Caenorhabditis elegans: one gene and its partner. The protein of the gene in region 1 interacts with the protein of each later gene in a pairwise test. Each region holds a gene or a part of one and is shown on either strand. Other genes may lie near its edges.

Region 1 (6,334 bases):
TGTCAACTAACAAATTAAAGCCCTTGAAATTCCCTATATTTTGTTAGTTGGAGATACAAGCGCTCAAAGTTAGTGGGGTGAGAGAGTGTGGAAGGGGGAGAGACGCAGGCTCCCTCGATGTCTGCGTCTCTCCCCACTCAATACTCTCTCGTCTCTCTAATTTCAAATCGCTGTAATTTTGCAACTATGAAAATTAACAAAATGTATGTAGAGAATTTCAAGATTTTTTTTTGGAATCCTATTTTTTTGAAATAAAAAATTCCTCTATTATCAAACAGGTAGAAGTTTCGACACATTTATTGAAAAAAAATGAAGAAAGATTTCTCAAGAAGCAGCTCCTTCAATAAGATGACATCAAGCAACGGGCAAGAAAAGAGAAATTGTTTGAAAAAACCGAGAGAGTGGAGAGACGCAGAGAGTTGAAGAAGAAGAAGGAAGTGTAATCACTGCTTGCCCCCCTTCTTCTTGATGACCAGTAAATATCACTTGAGAAAACGACGGAGAGAGAGAGAGAGAGAGAGAGAGAGAGAGAGAGAGAGAGAGAGAGAGAGAGAGATGAGAGACGCAGTAAAGTTCAAAAGTCTACGGGGTTTGTGTTGACTAATAGGTACAGTTTCCTTTCGAAATTTACTATATTTTGTTAGTTGAAAACTTTTCGATAGCTATTTTCTGCGCTGAGATACAAGCGATTGAAAAAATGGGGCTAGAGAGTGTGGGTGGAGGGGAGACGCAGACAGCGCGCGCGGCCTGCGTCTCTCCCCTTCCACACTATCTTGCCTCATCTACTTTGGGCGCTTGTATCTCCGCGTGGAAAAGAGCAATCAAAAAGTTGTTAACTAACAAAATGTAGACCTTAAAATTTCCTATATTTTGTGAGTTAACAATTTTTGATAGCTTCTCTCTGCGCGGAGATACAGTGCATATTTTTCCACTCCAACCATTTTAAAGGGAGGCTCATTTATACAGAATGGTCTTGACGCGCGTTTAGTCATCATTTTAAGCAGTTTCTGTGTGAAATTTGTGTAGATAACAGTATATGAATCACTTATTTCGTATTTCTGTAGCTTTTCCACAAGTTAATTGTGATCTACGCGATATTTTTACACAGAAACTACTTAATATGATGACTAAACGCGCGGCAAGACCATTCTGTATAAATGAGCCTCCCTTTAAAATGTTAAAAGTGGAAAAATAAATGTACTGTAACTCGGCGGAGAGCACCGATCAAAAAAATTTTCAATTAGCGAATTATAGCACTTAAAATTTCCTATATTTTGTTAGTTGGAAACTTTTTGATATCTCCTCTTCTCACTGAGATACAAGCGCTCAAAGTTAGAGGCGCTAGAGAGTGTGGGAGGGGGAGAGACGCAGACGGCACGCGCTGTCTGCGTCTCTCCTCCTTCCACACTATTTCTCTGCGAAAATCTTTAACCGTCAGTATCTCCAAATCGGTGAGAGCTATCAAAAAATTTTCAACTATCAATATACTTCATTTTTAATATTCTACAAAAATCGCCAGGCGGAATTTTCAAAAACTTTGAACAATTCCTGGAAAAAGGTAAATTATTGATTTTTTACGAATTTCTCAACTTTCCAGACCTTAAACTCAATGTTAAACTACTCTTCAAATATAAAATGCATGAAAATTCCATTGTTTTTTGCTCAGAAGCCACTTTGAAATAGTCCCAAGGGTGCCCAAGAAATGGGTGACATTCGTCCATTTGTCCATAACAATTGCACATATATATTTGGTGTTCAGTGGGGATTTTTTTGGAGAATTTCAGAAGGAAATTTGAAAAAAAAAGCATTCTTTTTCCTTTCCGAAACGGCCAAAAGTCGGGAAAAAAAGAGCAATTAGGCTCGAGAGCACCCATAAACAATTGCATGAGTTAATTGAGAATTCGGAGCACGGCGTCGAATCGATTCGAGCTCACTCACGCGAGCGACGGGGAGCACAGCACACCACTGAGAATATTACATTTCTCGTTGTCTGGGAGGGTGGCTCGGAGCAATTCAAGACGACTCGACGCGGGGAAAACCGAAAAACAAGGGACAACATTTTTTCTTCCAGATTTTTGAGATTATAACTGAAAAAACAAGGGTTTTCGGCACATTTTTTCTGAAAAATTCCCAAATTCTAGCTTGAATTTTGAATTTTTTAGTGAATTTTAAACATTTGCCGTGAAAAACCATTCGGAAATCTTTCCATTTTCAGGTTTTTCACCTTTTTAACCACTGTAAATCTCAATATCCAAGTGGCTTTTTGTGGAGAAATTGTAAAATTCAATGAAGTTTCATCTGGAATTTGAACGTTTTCACTCGATTTTTACCATTTTTTCACCAAAAACCACCTGAAACTGGAGCTTTTTCGTTCAATTTTCAAATTTTTAACATTTTGTCATCATTTTCCACTTCTGAAACCTGAAAATCTGAAAATTCACATCCGAAAACCTCGAAATTCGCTTGAAATTTTTTTTAAGCCGCGCAATTTTAATGCAAGCGCGCCCCACCGCACTACTTAGAAGTGCAGGTTATACGGTAGGCGGGGGATTTTAGGACGACTTTCTCTATTTTTCAACACTTTTTCGATTTTATTCTCGCGTTTTGGCCTAAATTTTCTGATTTTTTTTTGGTTTTTGCTGTTAAAATTGATCGATTTTCCTATCTTGTCCAATTTTTCTCTATTGAATCCCCTTTTTTCTCTCAATTTATTGTTGTTTTTTGCAGAACTAGGGTCAGTCAAGCATGGTCTTCGTTAAGACACTCCACAGAACCTTGTTCCTCGAGGTCGCCGCCAACGAGGATGTCTTGAGCATCAAGCAAAAAATCGAGGCCGCCGAGGGAATTCCAGCCGAAGAGCAGAGACTCTGCTACGCCGGTTCGTTTCGTTTCACGCAGAATCTCGAGAAGCGATTTCCTGACACTCGTCGGGTCGCTTTGAGGACAGACCCTGCCGTACACATTCTTGATTTTTACCTGTTAAGGACGTCAGCTCGAGGATAGCGATTGCGGAATCGACTCTGAGGCCACCATCTACGTCAACCTTGAGCTTCTCGGAGGAGCCAAGAAGAGAAAGAAGAAGGTCTACACCACCCCAAAGAAGAACAAGAGAAAGCCAAAGAAGGTCAAGCTCGCCGTCCTTAAGTACTACAAGGTAAGCAGAGTTTCGAATTCGTGAGAAATATCTTGCTCCAGCTCTGCCTAAAAAGTTTGAAACGATGATGATGAAGAATTTTTGATATGGTGTCAGGACCTCTGAGAGTTCCGTGATGATGTTTAGAGTTCCTGAATCTTTTCAAATCTTCTAGGCAGATTAGCAGAGTAGATATTTTCTGATAACCAATTTTCATATTTTACTGGCCATTATTATCATATATTTCCAGATCGACGAGAACGGCAAGATCACCCGTCTTCGCAAGGAGTGCCAACAACCATCATGCGGAGGAGGAGTCTTCATGGCTCAACACGCCAACAGACACTACTGCGGAAGATGCCACGACACCCTCGTCGTTGACACCGCCACTGCCGCTGCCACCTCTGGCGAGAAGGGAGGAAAGAAGGGAAAGAAGTAGACTGTTGTCCAATTTTTAACCTTCAATCAAAATAAATGTTGATTTTTGATATTCTTGCTATATGTTCTTCGGGAGAAAAGTTTATTCGTAACACATCGGAGGAATTATTTGTTTCAGAATTTGAATATTCTCCAGAAAATAATTAACCAATGACTTAATTATGATGTCATAACTTTGGAAAAAAACAAGATCTCACGTGTCCGCCTTCTCAAATAGCAAGAGATGCCCGGTCATGACCAGGATACCCTTGAATTGAGGATTGAATTCCCGCCAAATTCCTAGGATTTTTCGTTCAAAATGTCTTTTCTGAACGCTAAACCTCTCGTTGTTGCATTTTTCGCGTAAAAAGCTAGAAATCGGCCAAAAGCAGTGAAATTTTGCATAAAGCTGGATATTTGCTCAAAAAGCTAAAAAATCACCTCAAAAAGCTCAAAATTCCGTTTAAAAAGCTGGTATTTGGCTCAAAATATCCAACATTTCTCTGAAAAAAGCTGGGAATTAACTTAAAACGCTCAAAAATTCCGCTTTCAAAGCTGAAAATTCCGCTTAAATTGCTAAAATTCGGCTTTATAAGCTGGAAATTGGCTCGAAAAGCTGAAAATTCCGCTTAAACTGCTAAAACTCGGCTTCAAAAGCTAGAAATTGGCTTGAAAAGCTCTAAATTCCGCTTTAAACGTTGGAAATTCCTCTTAAAAAGAAATTGTCTCAAAAATCTCAAAATTTCGCTCAAAAAGCTGAAAATTTTGCTTAAAACTTAATTTTTCAAATTAAAATGCTACCCTTAGGTCCCTTCTTTCCTTTTCTCAAGCATCCACCCATTTTTTATTTTGAAAAATTTGAAAAAAATTTTAAATTCCTCGCTAAAGTCTATTTTATAAAATAGAAATAGTTATTTTTTCCAAGAAATTAAAGAATTTCAGACATAAAAACGAGGCTACCCGTTTTCCGCGTAATTTATTTGAGCAAATTTCTAGCTTTGCTGAGCAAAATTTTCCGATTATAATGCAAAATTGTGAATATTCCGATTCCAATTCCCGCGCATTAGAATTAACGACACTCCGATATTCCGCCGGTGCGTGTTGTTTAGCGCATTTATTTTTTCGCCTAAAATGTTCGATTTTTCGACGAAAATCTGGATTTTCTCGGTTTTTTTCGCATGAAAAATGAAAATAAACAGTTTTAAATTGAAGAAATAAAATTTTCCCCCTGAAACTTCAGTTTTCTGTGCAAAAACCCCTTGGAACCGTGCTGTAACTTCTTTTTTTTTCGAAAAAATAACATTTTAGGCTCAAATATCTTGTTTTCCGTTGATTCTTGTCGTTTTTCTCACTAAAATCTTCAATTTTCATCACTTTTTTCAGGGTAACACACAAAACCTTCCAAACTAAACATGGGAAAGAAGGTTAAAATTGGAAAACAGCGTCGTGATAAGTATTACAAGCTTGCCAAGGAAGCTGGTGAGTTTTTTAAAAGAATTTTTCATTGAAAAATCAAAAAAAAAATCGATAATTTCCAGGATACCGATCACGTGCCGCGTTCAAATTGGTCCAACTCAACAAAAGATTCGAATTTTTGGAAAAATCCCGTGCGACGGTCGATCTTTGTGCAGCGCCGGGAGGATGGATGCAAGTAGCGTCTCAATTCATGCCAGTCTCCAGTTTAATCGTTGGTAAGACTGAAAATTCGCGTTTTTTAGCGAAAATCCGGCAAAAAACCCAAAAAAATCCATTTTCAGGAGTCGATTTGGCACCGATCAAGCCAATCAAGAACTGTATCGCTCTGCAGGGTGATATTACGACGAATGAGACTCGTGCGGCCATTAAAAAGGAGTTGAAGACATGGAGTGTACGTTTTTCGGCTGAAAAATGATGGAAAATGGCTGAAAATCGGGAAAAATCGAGATAAAAGCTTGAATTTGAGATGAAATTCGAGAAATTCGAGGATTTTCTTGCCTTTCTCCACGAAATTGTGGAAATTGAGCTAAAATTCGAGATTTTCAGGCATTTTTTCACTGAAAATTCAGAAAAACCTTAATTTTGAGTTAAAATACCTTTTTTTGCAATTTTTTGGCAAAAATAATCCCAAAAATCTGGTAATTTTGAATAAAAAAAACCAAAAAACCTTGATTTTGAGCTAAAAATCTCACAAATTTGTGCAAATCTCAATTTTTGTCCAATTTGGCCGAAAAAAAGCTGAATTTTTAGCTAAAATTCCAACATTTTCAACAAAATTTAGGTAAAAGCCTAATAACTTTAAATTTTGGCCGATTTTTATCAAATTTCGAATAAAATTATCGATTTTCGCCGAAAAATCTTGTATTTTGAGCTAAAAATCTTATTTTTATCGAAAATATATCGATTTTCCCGTGAAAATGTCGATTTTTGTTCAATTTAGCCTGAAAAAACCTATTTTTGAGCTAAAAATCTAGATTTTCAAGCGATTTATCTCGAATTTCGAGGAAAAACTCAACTTTTTCGAGAATATTATCGTAAAAGTGTAGATTTTTGTTCAATTTTGCCAAAAAATACCGGAATTTTGAGCTAAAATCTCAGGTTTTTCATGAAATTTAAGGAAAAGCTCGATAACTGAAAGTTTTGGCCGAATTTTAAGTGAAAATCTCCGTTTTCGTCTGGATTTTGAGCTAAAATCCCGGATTTTCAAGCGATTTATCGAAAATGTCAATTTTGTCCAATTTCGCTCAAAAAACCGTTAATTTTGAGCTAAAATTTCAGATTTTAAAGCTATTTATCTCGAATTTTAAC
Region 2 (6,574 bases), on another chromosome or scaffold:
ATATAAATTACCCGTTTTCAACAAATTTAGACAACTTTTTATTTTTGCCCATTTTGATTTTTCAGCCATCTGTCCTTTTTTTTTATTTTGGGCAAAAAATAATTTTTCTAAAAATGTTCAAAACCACTATATACTATAAAAAAGGAAATTTTCAGTGTTTACAGATCAATTTTGAGTCCTCTAACTACAAAATTGCCCATTTTAGATGTGTTTCAAAGTTGTGAATTTTTGCCATAAATTGCTCATTTTTGCCACTTTCTAATGGTTTTTCATGGGTTAAACCTAGATTTTCTGAATTCAACATACATGAATTACCCGTTTTCAACAAATTTAGACAACTTTTTATTTTTGCCCAAATTTTTTTTCAGCCATCTAGTGTGCAAATACTCCGAGCTCGACGAAAAATCCGTCGTAAGTAATTACAAGCTGCTTCCAATGCCTTGCTCAATGTGAGCAAACCTGCACACACGCCCAGCTCTAATTAACGTATCTTGCCGATTATCCGGCAGCAGGTGTCCTCATTATGTTTTCCTATGGCTACCCCTACCTCGTCTCCATTTCCAATTCTCCGTTTACCCCCAAAATCTCTACAAAATGCACTACAAATCATGGATCGCGTGGATTTGTAAGCCATTTTTTCCCCTTTCGATTATCAATTTTTTGATCCCAAATTCTTTTGCAGATTCTACTTCTCATTCGTCTCACAAAAGTGCAAAAATCTGGCAATAGCTCAGAATATGAAAGGATCCAGTATAAACGTGATATTTGTCCCGAGAGTGGAACCGATTATCCACATTACTGTCAGATTAGCAGACGGAAGTGTTGCTTTTTTCTATGCTGATGAGCGACTTGATGAAGACGGAATCACTGAAAAACTTTCAAATACTTTCTCAATACGCTACCCAAATGGATTAAGTTCGACGTCTGTCTGAAAAATGGAAAACTCTAAAAATTGAATTAAAAGTGCTCATTAATCATTTCCAAGCATTATTTCATCTATCAAAGATTCAAAAGCTAAATCCCGGCGAGCCTAGATCGGAATCGATTTATCCAGCATTTGATGGGATTAAGATAGAAGTATTCGAATTATCTTTATGTAGACCCCTTCCCTACTTTGTCTGGAAACGAGAATTCGGAAATTTTCTAGATACTGTCCAGAAGATACATATCAAGTGCAGGGATACTTCTTATGACAGCAATTCTCACATGCGGAAGGTATTATTGGAAAATCACGATTGTGTAGAGTTCCTTAGAATGGAAACTTCGTTATTATGGATTACAAACTCCACTATTATAAAACTAAACTACCAAATTAAAGCCCATCTCTTAAATGAGTTCTTCAAACACTGGATTCATGGATCAAACCCAAGGATGAAACTTTTCGAGGCTCTCATTGAAACTAGACACTTGAAATTGAAAAAGTATATTCAAAAAGTATTCAGTGGTATCAAGTACAAAGGAAAATTGTCTTTCAAGCGAATCAATGGAGTTATTGAGAATCAAATATCTATTGAAGGTTTTGACGGAAAACTCGCAACAATTGACATAAACATCAATGTTCGGAGGATTTTAATGCAAATGTCTGTGCAGTTTTAATTTTGATACTATTGTAAGGATACCCACCCTTTTCACTTCACATTTTACATAAATAAATACTAATTTATTTGCCTGTAAATTCTCTCTGATAATTTACAGAAAGAACGGACGAAATCGGTCAAGGACAACGATTTCTACAGCGAGGACAATTCGTGTGGAGGAGAAACTCCAGTTCAAACCGCCGCCAAGCTGTCGTTGGTCGCATTGTCGCGTCGAGACCCGTCGTCGTTAAAGGCTGCGCCTTTAACCCGGAAATGCCTATATAAGGAGAGGAGGACGCTCATTTGTCATCATTTCTTAACTCTTTGACCCGTTACTTGTCGTTTTCCCTTTTCTCTCGTTTACTCTGTTTCGACGATGCAATTCGTCTGTTCCCTTTTACTTAATAAACCCTTATAAGATCGATCAGTGTGCGTGAGTGGCAGTTACATCCTATACCTTTATTCTATTAATAAAATAATTCTATTGATTTGATTTATTACCGATTAAACTCGTGATGAAATAAAATAAGAGTTGTATTGTATAAAGACATGGATAAACTAAATACATAATGTTGTACAAAAACAGTATTAAACATTCTTAGAACTATTATATTCTGACTATTTTTTGTTCAGATCGAAATTTACAGGCTTATCTTCTAGTCCGCCCTTTTTAAGACTTCACACAATTCAGGCCTATATTTCGCAAAATTCAGCAAAAAAACTGGCGTCATGGTGCATCGACTATCGATTTTTCGTAATTTTCAGCCATTTCTAACCCATTTTTCAGATATTTTCCCCTTTCTCCCAATATTTTATCTCATGTGCATCGAATCCATTGGTAAATGATCTCCTGATTAGCGCGCGCGAATTTCGATTTTTTTGCAAAAAAAGAGATCTACAATATTCAAAAAGTTCGAATTTAAAATATTCTTTACGATATTATGTCCTTTGAACTAATCAATAACTAGACAAAAAAAATCGATAATTAGTATCTAGGCGGCTTTTGTCTTGATCGTGAGCCCATGCATATCCTTAATCTGCTCCCGGAGAATGGAGGTGACCTGTTTGTGTTGAGCAACTTTCGATTTTCCCTTGAAACCGGCGGCTTCAACGACCACGTCGAACATTGATCCGCAGCCATCTGTAATATGGAGCTTGTAGTTTGTAGTGTATAGTTTGTAGTTTGTAGGGTATATTTTGGAGTTTGTAGTTAGTTTTGTATAGTTTGGAATTTATAGTGTACATTTTATAGTTTGTAGTGTTTAGCTTGTAGTTGGTCGTATACAATTTGTAGTTTGTAGTGTATAGATAGTAGTTTGTGGATATATTTTGTAGTTTGTAGTGTATGGTTTGTAGTTAGTGTTGTATAATTTGGAATTTATAGTGTACATTTTATAGTTTGTAGTGTATAGTTTATAGTTTGTAGTGTTTGGCTTGCAGTTTATATTTCGTAGTTTGTAGTTTGTAGTTTATAGTATACAGTAACTAACTTGTTTTTCATTATTTCTACCATTAATTTTGTGAGCGGAACAAAAAAATCATGAATGAATACCCCACGTATAGACTACAAACTACAAATATTAGTCTGATTATACTAGTTTATAGTATGTCTATTGTAGTTTGTAGTGTGATTATTGTAGTTTGTAGTGTATATTTTGTAGTCTGTAGTATGCCTATTGTAGTTTGTAGCGTACTCACTAGAAACATCGTGAACCTCGACACGAGTACATCCATCAATTCCCTCAGTGAGCAACTTGCTCATTTTCAGCTCGGCTTCTGACATTTTGTGCTCTCCACCACAACATGCCGAGTGACGCCTGATTGCTGAGGAGAGGAGGCCTGATCTCAGTGGGGTGGCAAGGCGGAGCATCTGAAATTTCGAGAAATGATAGCTTTTTTTTCGATTTTTTTCAGATTTGGAGAGAAAAAAAAACAAGAAATTTCACATTTAAACAAAAAATTTGTTATTTTTTCAAATTCTCGAGGTTTTTATAAATTCTGAAAAATGCCGAAAATTCGTAATTTTAGCTTTTTTAGTTTAAAAATTAGAAAAAAAATTGAAATTTTCGAAAAAAAATCAATAAATGTTCTATTATATATTATTATTATATATTTTATATATTATTAAATATTATTATATTATTATATACTATTATATATTATATAATAAATGTTACATTTGTTCTATTTTTCAAAAAAGTAATTAAATTTTTTTTTTTCGAAAAAATTTTCAAAAAATTCAAACTTTTTTAAAGATTTTCTAGAATTCAACTTCGACAAAAATTCGTAATATTTGAAAATTCCAAAAAATTACCAGAAAATGCTTTAAAAGTTAAAATATTTATCTAGTTAATTAGAAAGTATTCCTTTAGCGAAATATTCAAAAAAAACTTTTTTTAATCAAATTTTTCAAATTTTACATTCAAAAAGTCACCTGCAATGCATAATTTACATTACATGAAATTGAATTTTTTTGATTTTTTTCCCAATTATTAAGCTTTTAAAAATTAGCTTAAAAATACAGATTGTCAACATTTTTCAGAATTTTTTTGTTGAAAAAATGCGAATTTTCTCAAAAAAAAAAATCAGTTTCAAAATTGTGAAAAAAAAATTCTAAATGGTTTTTTTTTAAATTTAAGCTTCCGTGATTACTATAACATTTTCAAAAAATTGAGGAAAAAATTCAAAAAATGTTTTTAATTTTTCAAAAAAAAAAGCTCATCCTAAAAAACACCGTAATTAGCTAACTTTTTCAAGAAATTCAAATTTTTTTTCCAAAAAAAAAAAAAAAGGCAAATAGCATAAATTGATATCCTAAATGGACAACAGAAAATATAAAAATCAGAAAAAATTTTTCAAAAAAATACTTGTATTGCATTGTAAAAACGTCATTGCACAATCGAAAATTCGAAAAATAAAAGACCACGTAAAATACAAAAAATCGGGAAAATATCCAAAAAAATCAGTTAAAAAGTACAATTATCGTAGTGTAGCAATCTTTGGAATACTCCTCTCATCATGATAATCACTAACATATCCTAAACTCGAACCATCTTCACTTGTATCCCCTAATATTCGTTGTTTCTGTACTTGAATTGCTGCTTCGGATTCCGGAACAACTTTTTCATTTTTCACCAAATTCGGCAATTTTTCTTCACTCGTATTCATTCCACAATGCTTTTTTAGTGACCATTGCATTGCCCAAATCGATAGAGGACGCATGTAACCAATGGCTCGGTAGAATCTGAAATTCGGATATTTTAGGATTAATTTTTGGGATTTTTTAAAGAAAAAATGTTTGGAAATAAAAAAAAAATTCCAAAATTATTGTTTTTTTGGATATGAATTTTTTGTTTCTATTTTTAAAAATAAATTTCCATTTTTTGGAATTAGTTTTATGAATTTTTGCTTTTTTGAATATCCAAATTTTTCTGGAATCAAAAAAAAAAAAGTTTTAATGTTTTTTTTTAATTTTTTGTAAAGTTTCAAACTTTTTTTTTTGGGATTACGAGTATTTTTGGAAGTTTGAAAAAATAATTTTTGATTTTTTTGGATTTTTTTCTAATTTTTGAATTTTTTTTGGGATTTTTTTTAGAAATGTGTGGAAAATTTTTTTTTTTTTTTTTTGGAAAAATCTATTAAAAAAAACAAATTTCAGTTTTTTTTTTCAACAAATTTCTTTTCCTCACAATTTTTTCGATTTTCAGTTTTTCGAGTTCAAAATTCGGGAAATTTAAATTTATCGTTTAATGTTTTATAAAACGTATTATATGAACACTAAATATGCGTGTTGCACAACACATTTAACGCGCAAAAAATATCTCGTAGCGACAACTATAGTAATTCTTTAAAATGCTACTGTACTGCTTATGTGGATTTACGGTAATAATTTATTTCACGATCAAATATGACTTACGAAAACTCGAAAAAAAAATTCAATCCGAAAATCGAGCCCGTAAATCGACATTAAGAAGTTACTGTAGTTTTCGCTATGAGATATATATATATACGCATTCTCAGAATTTAGTGTTCCCGTAATCATATATACATATACATATACATATATACATATACATACATATACATATACATATACATATGCATATGCATATACATATACATATACATATACATATACAAATACATATATATATATATATATACATATAGGACTGCTCCATACTACAAACTAGATAGTTTCTTCTTGAATTTTCAACATCTCACTCACTTCGATTCATAAAGTGCTTCAGGCGTCTGATATTGTAGTCCAGTCTCCTCAAAACATGTCAGATAACTCCCCGACGCCGTATGAAACGCCTTTTCCACTTCTCCCTGTTGAATAAGTAACGATGCAACTGCATAAGTAACACCCGTCCACATTTCATCAGCCTGAATGTACTCCCGATCTACGACTCCTGACGGTTTCATTCCATTTACTGCACCCATTCGTCCGTTTCCAAATTTACACACATTCAATCGATAAATCGTATCCAACGCTGATCGGACCATATGATTCGGGAGAAGCTCGTCGGCTAGTTCAGGAGATACTGATTGAAGGAACCAATAACCACATAGTTGATCAGCCATCACTGTTTCTCTACTACGGGATCGCTCACAGAATCGGAAGTAGGTTCCTGTCCATAGAGTGTCGATGAATACCTTTTTCGCTTTTTCGAGAGTATTCCTGAAAAAAAAAATGATAAAGTAATGTATAAAAATCGAAATATTTTCCGATTTTCCGATTTTCTAAATTTTCGTTTAAAAACTTCATTCGCAAATGAAAGAAAAATTGCAAAAAAATTCACGTGTTGTCAGGTGTTGTCCCATATCGGTTTGATCTACAAAAAATGCGGGAATTCAGACGTAGACTTCTCAACTGATTTCGCATGCCGACGTCACATTTCTTTGTGGAGAAATTCCCGCATTTTTTGTAGATCAAACCTTTATGGGACAACCTGACACCACGTGAAAATTTAAATTTGAGTTTTTTTTTAAAG

The links.
Region 2: the proteins of rps-27A (region 1) and Y105E8A.11 interact in a two-hybrid assay, tested with the Caenorhabditis elegans proteins (one large-scale study listed by BioGRID).

What each region holds. Positions count from the first base shown.
Region 1 is NC_003281.10:3,065,590-3,071,923, forward strand, and holds rps-27A (Ubiquitin-like protein 1), read left to right. Parts: upstream 1-2,727; 5' UTR 2,728-2,745; coding exon 2,746-2,878; intron 2,879-2,896; exon of another isoform or gene 2,897-2,973; intron 2,974-2,984; coding exon 2,985-3,154; intron 3,155-3,216; exon of another isoform or gene 3,217-3,294; intron 3,295-3,383; coding exon 3,384-3,572; 3' UTR 3,573-3,621; downstream 3,622-6,334. Other genes in the region: H06I04.3 (Putative rRNA methyltransferase), read left to right, coding at 4,963-5,029, 5,089-5,241, 5,308-5,417.
Region 2 is NC_003279.8:14,429,666-14,436,239, reverse strand, and holds Y105E8A.11 (BolA-like protein 3), read right to left. Parts: upstream 3,450-6,574; 5' UTR 3,448-3,449; coding exon 3,276-3,447; intron 2,719-3,275; coding exon 2,570-2,718; 3' UTR 2,490-2,569; downstream 1-2,489. Other genes in the region: hpo-13 (Non-lysosomal glucosylceramidase), read right to left, coding at 4,557-4,821, 5,806-6,261.